Linked DNA regions of Nothobranchius furzeri. The protein of the gene in region 2 interacts with the protein of the main gene of each other region in a pairwise test. Links are inferred from orthologs where the notes say so. Each region holds a gene or a part of one and is shown on either strand. Other genes may lie near its edges.

Region 1 (4,133 bases), on a different chromosome or scaffold from region 2:
GCTGAGGGGATAGGGCCTTCGCTGATGCTGCTCCCAGAACTCTTTGCCGGCACATCTTAGAAAGGCCTCCTCACTGGAAACTTTTAAATCATCTTTAAAGACCCACCTTTTTAGCTTGGCTTTCAACACGTTTTGGATTTCTATTTGATTTGTGTTTTATTTTAGTGTGCTTTTAACCTTACACTGTATTCTATTTTATGCTTTTATGTTTTTATGTTCAGCACTTTGGTCAGCGAGGGCTGTTTTTAAAGTGCTTTATAAACAAAGTTGGCTTGGCTTGATTAAGCAAATGCAACTCTAAACTCAATTCCTTTCTTTGACATTTCAGACAGGAAATGTTGAGTTATCCTTTATGCTCAAACCTGTTCACACACACACACACACACACACACACACACACACACACACACACACACACACACACACACACACACACACACACACACACACACACACACACACACACACACACACACACACACACACACACACACACACACACACACACACACACACACACACACAGCGAAAGAAAGAACAGTCTAGTGTTTTACCAATTCAAATTTTAATCAAGATAAAAAAAAAAGAATAGCTCCAGGTACAATGTCTGGTGGACCAGACACTGGGTGCAATGCTTTAACAGTTTATAATAAAAAATTTAAACTATGAAACAGAAAAACAGAGAAGTGGACACCAAGTTGCGCAAGCATTACAGATTAAAGCCAAACCATTGCACAAAGTTAGAGCTCCCAGTTTTTCACTCCAACTTTCTTAACAGCAACTTGACTCAGATACTTACATGTACGGACATGTATGCAAATTAAATCAGGACCTGGTGGAAGATGCGTTATTTCTTGGCAAAAGAAATCTTCATGGCGTTCGTCTGAGTGATCTTAAAGCCCTGCAGAGCATCTCGTGCCGCGCCAGCCTGCACCTCGTTTTCAAACTCCACAAAGGCGATGTCGTGACGACCAGGAACAAGACGCACCTCTTTGAAGCCGGGAAACCTTTAACGCACAGAGCAGCTCAGTTACAATTACAGAAAAAACAGTTTGAGAGAATTAAATTCTCAGATTATTTGCAATGTTAGCATCACAAAACAGTCAAAGTTGATCCATTTTTACGCATCTGTTTAAATGTATGACTAGAAAATGAGTACTGACTGGTTGAAGAGCATGGACAGCATGAGTTCGTTCGTCTCCTCTGGCAGGTTGGTGAGAAAGAGAATGTGGTTGGGTGGATTTTCTGAAACCTGTGGGAAGAGAGTAAGGATTAAACTACCAGGACAGGAAACAAAACGTTCTGTGAGGAAAAAGAACACAAGCTACCTGCTGAGGCATCTGTCCTGGCATCATCTGACCAGGAGCAATCCCACCAGGAGGAATCTGGCCTGGAGCCATCCCAGGAGGAGGCATCATTCCAGGAGGGGGCATGTAAGGTGGCTGGCCTGGAATGTGCATCATGCGAGGAGCCTGGTTCATTGGTGGCATTCCCTAAAGAATGACAAACGTTTAGTTTCTATTCATGTTAATTGAGCTTTTAACTCTTAATGCATCTAAAACCTGCCGTTACTTCACTAACAAATATCTAGATTGTTTAACCATGATTGTAAAAAACACCTAGTGCACTCACTGGGATTGCAGAAGGTACCCCAGCAATCGCTGCAGCATTTTTTTTACTTCCTGTAGATTCAGGTTTGGGCTTCTTCTTTTCTTTTTTACGGTCACGCTCCACAAAAGTCCCCTTCATCTTAGCTATAATATCCGAATCCATTTTAGAGTACTGGATTCGCTGCAAGAAAGTATATATTTGAGTCACACGTGTACTTCCATCAGAAATGTCTAAATTGTGCATTATTAAACATGTTTAATAGACGTACCATAGGTTTATCATAGAAAGGAAAACCCTGCATGGACCTTAATGCATTAGAAGCGCTGTTAATCTCTTTAAAGATAACGAACGCCTGACCCTTCATCTTCAGGTTTCGTGCGACCAAAATGTCCAAAATTTGCCCAAACTGAGAGAAGATGGCATAAAGGGACTTCTTCAGCTCTGAGGGAGACACACAAACAACAAATAATCAATAACAATAATAAAGGAGACTTTGCATTAATTGTGCGTGAAATAAACAAAGAAAAGGAAAGAAAATGATGCGAAACTCACCATCTTTCTTTATCTTCTCGTTTAGGTTGTTGATGTAGATCGTGTGATTGGGGCGCACCTCTGCTGGAGTGGTCATGTTTAAGGCTAGGAGAATAAATAAAATAGCTAAAAATAAAATAAAGACTCAAACATGTGCTTATTTTCACGCAGTTTCAAGTCCAATTTCATTCAAAAATCCAGCATCTAAACGCAATGGTAACAAACATGGCGGAAGGCAACAACAGCGTGTTAGCTAAAAGCTAACTAACAGCATTTAGCGTCATTAATCTGCCTAAATACTTCTACTAGTTCCAACGTTACCTCAAATCGTTTAAGCTTGTCAAAAATATTTTAAATCAACAGTTAAAATGCACTTAACCATGTAAAACGCGTTAGATGTTGACGTAGTACCAACCTGAAATTGAATGAAAGCTCCGAGACTTTTTTCCCCAGAAAACAAGAGGAAGAAATTCTTCTTCTTTGTCTTATTTGTTGGTTACCAAACCGTTCTGGTGAATTACCGCCACCACACGGTGTAAATCAAAATAGCGAAACTCAAAACACCATTTAACTTACAATGGCTAAAACTAAAATGGTTTTTCTTCTTATTTACGCTGCTCTGGGTGGCTGCATGTTGGAGTAGCTCTGTTAACTATATGTAAGTTTAGCCTTTTCTTGGACATTTTTTCTTCTAGTTTCTCAAGAAAAACGGTATTTTTTTGGACACTTTACTTTTCTGTTTCTGGTGCTGTGAAGCTTGGAGGACTTTTGCTGCTATTGTTTAGGTTTTTTCACTTTTTGAGCATTTGTTATGATGCGTAACCATGGCAACAAGCTGGTTTACAATCGGGAGCAGCTGTTTAACATTGAAAAGGCTGAAATAATACCTCAACTGACGCGACAAATCCCAAATTAACTAAAACGCAAGAAGCGTGGGTGCAGAGCGGGAGCAAAACGGAGACAGAGAAAGAGGAAATTCAAACCATCTCTCCCATCGATCATAATGGGCAATGTGAGATCACTGGCCAACAAGATGGAGGAACTCCAAGCCCTTTCAAGGACTCAGTCAGAGTTTCGGCACTTTCTGAACCACTGGAGGAGATAATGCAAAGAAGGATTCTCCAGAGAATCAAGAAAATTATGGACAACCGTGAGCATTCTCTTCACAAGACTGTCCGACAACGGAAGAGTGTCTTCAGTCAGAGGCTTCTTCAGTTTCGCTGCAACACTACTGGAGATCCTTCCTGCCAACAGCCATTGTAATATACAATAACTCTTTGATGACTTGATTATTATTATTATTCTGAGATACTACAGCAATCAGTTTCCCCCTGGGATTAATAAAGTATTTTTGAATTGAATTGAACAGTAAATCAGAAATACTGGAAAAACATGACGTCAAAAAAAGGCAGAGTAGACAACCTAAGAAGAATAACAGTAACTTTACAATAAGGTACGTAAAATTATGCTTCGTAACTAGGGAACGACTTAGGGAGTAATGAGTAATGAAGCAGGGAAGAATAGGTAGTTAACCAATACATACTGGTGAAAACCCAACAGTTTTATTCAGGGACTAATCTTTGAACGCATTAAGGAACAAATCCCAAATGAATGTAGTGCCTGTGGACTTTTTTTTTTTGTAAACTTCATGAACAATGCAGATAATTTGCAACATCACAGTGATTTAACATCACTGTTTCATCTTGACTTCACACGTCTGTCACTTTTTTGTCCATTGTCGGCATCCGTCCATCGCAAGATGATGGAAAGTGAAGCCTTCTCCCAACTTAGAAGGTACTAATCTGTACCTACTAGGTACTTAACCATTACCTACTGCTTTTGTCTAGCTTAAAGTGAAGCCTTCTCCCAAGTACCTACTGAGGAACAAATATGTTCCCTAGTAAAGCACAAAAACATACCTATTAGTCTCTGAATAAGACTGGGTGTTTACCAGTAAGTATTGGTTAACTACGTATTAGACCATGAAAAAA
Region 2 (4,100 bases):
CAGTCAGTAAGAGACGGCGGCTGCTGCAACAATGTTCGGTAAAGCTGGACACATTTGGAAGCTCCTCTGCCGGCTGACCTTGGAACAAAGTGAGTCTGTCCTGCTTTCACTCTCACAATACCACATTTAGTCTCATTTAATATCCAGAGCTTTGCTCAGAGACGGGGGAATCAGACCAGCGGCGACCAGTCTTCGCTCACTAATCAAAAAGTTGAATGTTGCACATGCGTTCGGCTGCAAAAAAAAGTTTAAATAATAAAAACATTTGTGGTTTGAGAGTCATGAAGGCTGAACAAATATTTACCGTGTCCTGCACCTCCACAGCGATGCCTTTACGCCTCAGTAAGGCAAGAACTAAGGGGTTGATTCGCTCAAGCCGGGCTCCTGTTCCCAGCACAAGAATCTCTTCATAAACCAGAAAGAAACATTAAAAAGTGTTTAAGTTTAAATGATTAGCTACATATAAACACACAGACAGAATAAAGAGTAGAAAATACTAGGAATGGTCACCTAAAGTATACAATTGACGCAAGTTTCTATGAGAAATAGCAGCCTGCAATACTATCATTAAAACATGAAGGGATTAGATTAATGGCTGAATTCCTTTACTTTTCTCACTAGATCACTAGAAGGACCATTTAAATACTTTCTGGGGTCTTCTATAGGAGTTTGCATGTTTTTGTGGTCTAGCAATAATACATCATGGAAGCTGCAGCATCATTCAAGCTACAACCTGTTTTAATTCCTTTCTCTTAAAGATGAAGCAGCTAAAAAACCCAAGTTTGAGGTGATGAAATTGGACCAGTGAAGATTAAAACGGGCCAAACACAAACATCTTTATATCAGTGTGCATTCATTCATACCAATTGTTGGTGCAATCATGTGGAAAAGAGAGACGCTTTCCTCTGTGATGTCTTCGTGACTACCAACCTGCAGAACCAGACAGTTAAAACAAACTCTTGATCAGTTTTTGTAAACAGAATGATGTGATGCGGCACACTAATAGCTGTGTAGAACATCTGGAGATGAACCTCACGTTCCACTGCAGGATGGCAGGAGGCAGCAGAGCACAGGGCCCGAGCACCTGGTTACTATCTACGGTAAATCCTATGGGGCTGTAGCTGTGGATCATGATCCCACTGTCTGCCTCCTTCTTCATGATGGACACCGTGGTTTTCTGGTACAACTCATCATCACCAGGTTCCAATCTGTGAGCGCGAGACAGAAATGGGCTGGAAAAAGAGACAGAAAACTAGATTAGAAACAATAATAAATGGGCTTTATTCTGTTGTTTATTGTCAGTGACTTGATGCAAAGCTTGTTTCTAGACTGAAAAACAAGTAACGGACAATGAATAAATCCAGTGTGTGTATATTCTTCCATAGTTTTAATATTCTTAGAAAGTCAGAGGAATGCAGATCTGCCAAACCACCTACTGATGGGGTCCTCAGCCAAAAGCTTAATTTACACTGTACACATCACATTACACAATCAATGCTTTTTAATTTCAACATTAGCTAAATTAGCCAATTAGTCTGTTAGAATATGTAAACACATTTTATTTTTCATAACATTCAACAAAACTTCCAGTAATTGTTGCGGTGAGATTCTTCTTTACTTTTAAGTAAATTCCTCTCTCACTCTGCTCCTGATTCTTTTGAGGTGAGCCTGAAAAGAGACCTGCACCTTAAGCATCAACATGTACACACACAAGATCTTGGTTGGCCTGAGATGAGATGCACACGAGCAGTAACCTGGTAATGTGTTATGATTTTTCAGTTTCCCCCTCAGCCTTTTAATTTGAAAGTTACACAAGCACACACACATAGGGAGGTCCTGTCAGTGAATTTAAACATCAAATGTCATTCTCTACTGAAAGAAGGGTGTTCCTTCTGCACCTTTACACACTTTAACAGTTTATCATCTTTTCTGATCAGCAATAAAAGGTCAATAGTTCAGTTTTCACCAAATAAGGACACTTTCCCTAACTTGTACTGGAACATTTTAGTTATGTTGTGTCCATCTATCTTCTGCTTCTCATTTACATCTGCTTCAGACATACATTTCCTGTTATTTATTATGAACTTCATCACAAGTTCTGCTCAAGTCTGAACTGTAACTACGGCAACCTACTGGACTCTTGCTGTCTGGAGAGCAGTTTGCATCTATTCTGCAACACTTCTGCAAAGTATCACAAGTCACACTTCCTGTAAAGGAAATCTCATTAACATACACATGTGAGCTATAAAATAGTCATAAGACTTTTGAATAATACTTCCACATTATATATGAAGATTTAATGATTGAGCAACACACTTTAAACTGCGCAATTAGACTGAAAATGATTATACTAACTAAAACTGAAAATTACCCTAGATATAAGTAACCATTTTGAGGCTAACCTTAAGTAAATCTAAGGAAATTGAACCGACGAACATTCATAAAGCATCAATAAAGCGGGAAATTTAAACCTTCAGTGAAATAAAAACACTAAAACACTTTATTAAATACTATAAAATAATGCTATACAACTTTAATAAGGCTAATTATCAAAACAGACATCACCTTTATAACACTTTCAATTCAATATCACACCAACTTTTAACTCTGCAATTGACCTTATTTTCTTTTTTAACTAATAGGATTTCTATACTTTTGTTGAAAAAATTAAATTACCAAGAGAAAGCAGGAATTGTATTGGAAAAGGACAGAAATCCTCGAGTCGACCTCTGGAAAAGCATCCTGCTGCACACCGCAGTGGCCATGTTGACGAGTATAACAGGGGAACGGAATTCTCTGTGACACCATTAAGGCAGCTGCTTCCGGTGCTATGCACAGCACAATCGAACATTTCTTATCTCGCCAACAGTGTGTGTGTGTGTGTGTGTGTGTGTGTGTGTGTGTGTGTGTGTATTTAATACATATATAATTCAACTCTTTCTGAAACAAATAATGTAACATTGAAACATATTTACAAGGATTCAAAATGCTGAAATCCTTTCTGCAAATGTAAGATGGAAGAAAAACTATCTCTATCCCTGCGTGTGTACAACACCGTAACCTTACTTTAATCGTCAAGTAAAATGTTTTTACATTTTACATCATTTAATTGTAACTTCATAAATGTTTCCACTTCAAATGAAAATAAATGTATTACACATTTTTCACAATCAAATTAGATTTTAGCTCTGGGTTTGATTAAACTGTCTGATAGGCGTATTTAGGGTGTATCAGTGCCCCCTGTGGCCTGTTCTGGTAGCGCTCGCTCAGGTCAGATGATCCGAGCTACATTGTAAATAGACATGAGCCGCTCACCGTAGACTTCATGGGCTCTTTAAATCACCCCTGCGGAGCAGATCTTTTCATTCGGTTTTTGTTTCATAACAGGTTATTTCTGTGTCACTTTTCGGTTTGTTACAGATAAACTAAATCATGTATCGGTCTCTGTACGCCTTCCGATCCGTGGAGCCCAACTCACTGCACTTCGCGGCCGGAGAGAGCTTTCTAATCCTGGAGAGAAGCAACAAACACTGGTGGTTGGGGTCCCGCTGTAGCTCCGGGGAGACCGGCTACATCCCTGCTTCTTACATCGAAAAGATTCAGGTAAAACTCACTTTTAACCCCCGTTTTTGCCTATTTAGTGAATAGAGGCGAGGCGTGGAGTGGAACCCTGAGAGTGGTGCTGTCTGCAGCAGGGCAGGCCAAGAGCAAGCTGTCTAGTCAGGTGGAAATCGCATGCATTAATTTATTATAAAGGCTGCAGGTCGAAAAGCTGCTGAGAGGACACAGGGTGGGACAGCAACAGATAACAGAGACAAGAAAGCATTGTTTTCCTCTCCTCGTGGTCACACCCCTGGTTATATCGCAGGAACTAGTCAGAGCTTGTAGGCTGTGTCACAAGAAGAGAGCTCCCTCCTGTACTTGATAACACCGTCTGTGCAGCTTTAATTAAGCCTGAATGTAGGGTGTTGTTAGATCACAGTCCCATTTTTTCCCAGCTTGTCCCAGTTTGACCCAGTCACACACTTAATAATCCTGCATGCTGCCACAGTAATGAATGTTTCATCCCTTCAGCTTCTGTCGATGTGTTTGTGCCAGGC
Region 3 (3,742 bases), about 21 Mb from region 2:
AGGTTTCAGGTGTAGAAGCCATTAGTAAGAGCAGCCATGTTGCTTGGTTTAGAGACAGTGTCCATGAGGACATCATAGGATTGGAGGTTGTGGAGCTCAAGATGTTGAGGTTCTCTTTGGGAGTGAAGGATGGATAGGATTGGGACCGAGCCCATCAGAGAGACATAATAATAATAATAATAATAATAATAATAATGCATTGAACTTATATAGCGCTTTTCTAGACACCCAAAGACGCTTTCACACACTCTCACATTCACACACTGCTAGTGATGGTAAGCTACTTGTAGCCACAGCCGCCCTGGGGAGGTCTGACAGAGGCGAGGCTGCCATTTGGCGCCGTCGGCCCCTCTGACCACCACTAACACAGGCAAGTTGGGTGAAGTGTCTTGCCCAAGGGATCGAACCCATGACCCTCTGATCATGAGACAACCCGCTCTACCACCTGAGCTACTGTTGCCCCACATGTTAGATGTTCTTTTGATGTGTCACATGTCCACCAACTCCCAACAGTTAAGATGTCACCAGCAGCACAATTCAATTCAATTCAATTCAAGTTTATTTATATAGCGCCAAATCACGACAAGAGTCGTCTCAAGGCACTTCACATAGTAAACATTCCAATTCAGGTCAGTTCATTAAGCCAATCAGAAATAATGTTTCCTATATAAGGAACCCAGCAGGTTGCATCGAGTCACTGACTAGTGTCAGTGACTATACAGTAATCCTCATACTAAGCAAGCATATAGCGACAGTGGAGAGGAAAACTCCCTTTTAACAGGAAGAAACCTCCAGAGAATCCTGGCTCAGTATAAGCAGCCATCCTTCACGACTCACTGGGGATGGAGAACACACACACACACACACACACACACACACACACACACACACACACACACACACACACACACACACACACACACACACAATAATGTGTCTACAGTTCTATTGTGATGTCTTAGTAAATATTCTATTTGGTATTTGGTGGTCCAGCCACGATGGAGGAAACCTTCACTCTGTGTGATTAAAGCATCAGCTGAAACGACCTGAGCTTTAAAAGGAAACAAGTTCCCAACAATATGGACATTTCTGACTAAAAGAGGTTATTTATTTATTTATTTTTTATTTAGGATATTGGTTCGTTAACAATACAGTCAATATGCACAAAAGACTCAATATCCACTATGAAGTACATGGAAACAGTATAAACATAACAAAAACATACCAACAGATTCAACGCCAGGGGTTACTGCATACAAATTATGAAACATATGAGAATGATGATCGAAACAGGAAACAATACGAGACATGCAGCAGAGTATGAATTATGGAAAGATTAGAAATTTTGAGCAGAGACTTAGTGTCTTAATGGCTTTGTTATTGTTCGAGGTGGAGATTGTTTTCAAATAAAGCTTAAGCTCTTTTTTCAAGACACAAAAGGAAGGTATCTGACTAAAAGAGGTTCCAGTATTGCACACATCGTTATTACCTCATTATTCATAATACCCCAGAGTCCTCCAACCGCGCGAGGGCGCTGTCGGCGGTACTTTTTTTGTCAAAAGAACCTCGTCGCTCGCCGTAGACCAGGAAGTGGTTTAAAGTCATCCACCATGGGGGCACGGGTCGGGCGAATGCTGCGAAATGTCAACCTGGAAAATCGGGCGCTTCGGGAAATTTCCAAGGAAAAGCCAAAGGTAGCGCCCCGACATGCGGTGAATGTTCCTCCTCCCGCGGCCAGTCCTGACGGTGAGTGTCGGGGGGAGGGCACCGGGCAGGGTCAGGGGCGGTGGATGACGGTGTGTTGTGTGTCCCAGTGACGGAGTCGGTGAAACAGAAGAGCGAGTCCCTGCAGGTCCTGCTCAGGTCCGTGTACGTGGAGTCCAGAGATCCCGCTTCTACAGAGGTCAGAGCTCACCTGTTCCCCCCCCCCGCTGCGGTAGTTACCGTTAAAGTCAGAGGTCAGAGACCCGGATCAGCTCTGGTCTGTGCCTCAGACCAGCTTTCGGTCACGACATCATCAGCTGTGTAAACCAGTCAGTAAACAGCCGCCCACTGGCTTCCATTAACTCCCTCACCATCACTGTCTCGGCCCAGAAGGAGGACCCAGCTGGGTCTGGTTTCACCTGGTCAGCTGCCTTGGCTCCAGAAGTGTGCCATTGCTGGCCATCATTACATTTCAGACCTCACACAACAGTATCGACCGCTACACACACAACGGGTAAACTAGTAGTAGCACATCCAACGTCAAGGAAAGCAAAAAGTTATTATCAGGAGCGGGAGAATCCCTCTGGGATTAATAAAGTATCTTTGATTTGATGCTGATACACATCTTCTGTGGTTTTACAGAGTGTAAGGGGTTCGCTGTTACAATAAACAAGGAGTGGGTATTTGTTGGGCTTATAACGCTTCAGCGAACCCAACACGAAGCCTTTCCCATTGGCGGTCTGATCGAAACCTTTTCACGCTCGCGTTTTAAACACATGAAGGAACATCCTCTGATTTTGTGTTTGAACTTCTCTCAGGCATCCAAGGAGGCGACGGTGGGTGAGGAAGTGGAGCGGAGGCCTCTCCGCGTTAACTTCCCAGTAAATGCGTTGGGCCTGGTGGAGCTCACAGATGTTCCCAAAGGCAAACTAAGCCTTCCAGAAGCTCTGAAGGTCCTTGGAGGTCACCAGCACCAGCCCCAAACCTGGACGCCTGAAAAGGTCGCACAGGAATATTCCCTCGAGTTAAAAGACACCAGAGCTCTCCTAGAGTTTTTCATCCCATTTAGGATGGAGATCATACCTCCCAAGACTGGAACTGCACGGCAGATTAAGGCTTCTTAGGACTGGAGTCTTCCTGCTCACTTATTCTTAGACTTCTGGGTTTTGCTTTGGGAGAAGAACTTGGTTTTCCATGTGTTCCCTGTGAGTTTTGTTGGAATTTGGAACGATGGAAGGTTCCTAACCTATGTGAAGGCTCAGAAAAGCTGGTATTAACACAAGCTAGTTGGAGCTTCTACATTGCTGCTGGAAGAGCACTCTGGTTCTTCTGTTTCAACCTGTGTGTGTCCCCTTCACAATAACGGTTTGTGATTTAGCTTCTTGTGTCACTCTGGAGCGGCTTCCTTTATAACATCAGATTGTACATTCAAACATCAGGTCCGGCTCCGACTAAATAAAAAAGTGAAACGTAATAAAAACTGGATTCATTATAAAATGCAAATTTGTCAAATTAACCACTAAATAAAGGAAAGGGTAGATTGAAGCATCCCTCAAACACAAACTTCCATTCTGGACAGCACAGGCGACAGCGGGAAGAAAGGTCCGGGGAAACCTGTGATTTGTGGCCGTTGCAAAGGATTGTTCATGTCACACATTACGGCGAGAGGTCTCAGTGAGGCAGACGGCACCACGTCTCTCCAGCAGGACACGCTGCGTCATGAGCGCACCTCCCAAAGCAGACCGCTAACCAGAACAGGTGAAAAGATAAAAACTGTTTCAGTGTCCGTTCCCTACCCAACTCGCCGTCCTCAAAGGAGGAGCTTCGTTTGTCAAACCCTTGCTTTAGCGTCAGACTCCGGCTGCGGGTCTCCTTTTCCCATCTTCCAGCTCAACAGCTGATTCTGTTTGCTCGTCATTCCTCCTCCTTTACACACAATAACCCACTGAAGTACAGAGAAGTACCAATCTGTCACAGATCGCTGCGATATCTAACAAAGCTGTAGCAGCGTCAGACTGGACGAGCACAAATTTGCAAA

Evidence for each region. The genes of interacting proteins can lie anywhere in the genome.
Region 1: the proteins of ndufaf3 (region 2) and snrpa interact in binary tests that used the Homo sapiens proteins (3 or more experiments, as listed by UniProt). The two-hybrid records come from large-scale screens. The link is inferred for Nothobranchius furzeri from reciprocal best matches to the Homo sapiens genes NDUFAF3 and SNRPA.
Region 3: the proteins of ndufaf3 (region 2) and ndufaf4 interact in binary tests that used the Homo sapiens proteins (3 or more experiments, as listed by UniProt). The two-hybrid records come from large-scale screens. The link is inferred for Nothobranchius furzeri from reciprocal best matches to the Homo sapiens genes NDUFAF3 and NDUFAF4.

The regions. Positions count from the first base shown.
Region 1 is NC_091753.1:42,104,662-42,108,794, forward strand, and holds snrpa (U1 small nuclear ribonucleoprotein A), read right to left. Parts: upstream 2,685-4,133; 5' UTR 2,558-2,684; intron 2,248-2,557; 5' UTR 2,240-2,247; coding exon 2,164-2,239; intron 2,053-2,163; coding exon 1,880-2,052; intron 1,792-1,879; coding exon 1,633-1,791; intron 1,494-1,632; coding exon 1,329-1,493; intron 1,253-1,328; coding exon 1,164-1,252; intron 1,008-1,163; coding exon 848-1,007; 3' UTR 547-847; downstream 1-546. UniProt on the Homo sapiens protein: Component of the spliceosomal U1 snRNP, which is essential for recognition of the pre-mRNA 5' splice-site and the subsequent assembly of the spliceosome. U1 snRNP is the first snRNP to interact with pre-mRNA.
Region 2 is NC_091743.1:68,500,099-68,504,198, reverse strand, and holds the start of ndufaf3 (NADH dehydrogenase [ubiquinone] 1 alpha subcomplex assembly factor 3), read right to left. Parts: upstream 2,833-4,100; 5' UTR 2,766-2,832; coding exon 2,677-2,765; intron 1,233-2,676; coding exon 1,037-1,232; intron 931-1,036; coding exon 864-930; intron 406-863; coding exon 305-405; intron 235-304; coding exon 133-234; 3' UTR 1-132. Other genes in the region: nckipsd (NCK-interacting protein with SH3 domain), read left to right, coding at 3,433-3,603, 4,099-4,100. UniProt on the Homo sapiens protein: Essential factor for the assembly of mitochondrial NADH:ubiquinone oxidoreductase complex (complex I).
Region 3 is NC_091743.1:89,859,120-89,862,861, forward strand, and holds ndufaf4 (NADH dehydrogenase [ubiquinone] 1 alpha subcomplex assembly factor 4), read left to right. Parts: upstream 1-1,469; 5' UTR 1,470-1,610; coding exon 1,611-1,746; intron 1,747-1,814; coding exon 1,815-1,903; intron 1,904-2,522; coding exon 2,523-2,828; 3' UTR 2,829-3,196; downstream 3,197-3,742. UniProt on the Homo sapiens protein: Involved in the assembly of mitochondrial NADH:ubiquinone oxidoreductase complex (complex I). May be involved in cell proliferation and survival of hormone-dependent tumor cells. May be a regulator of breast tumor cell invasion.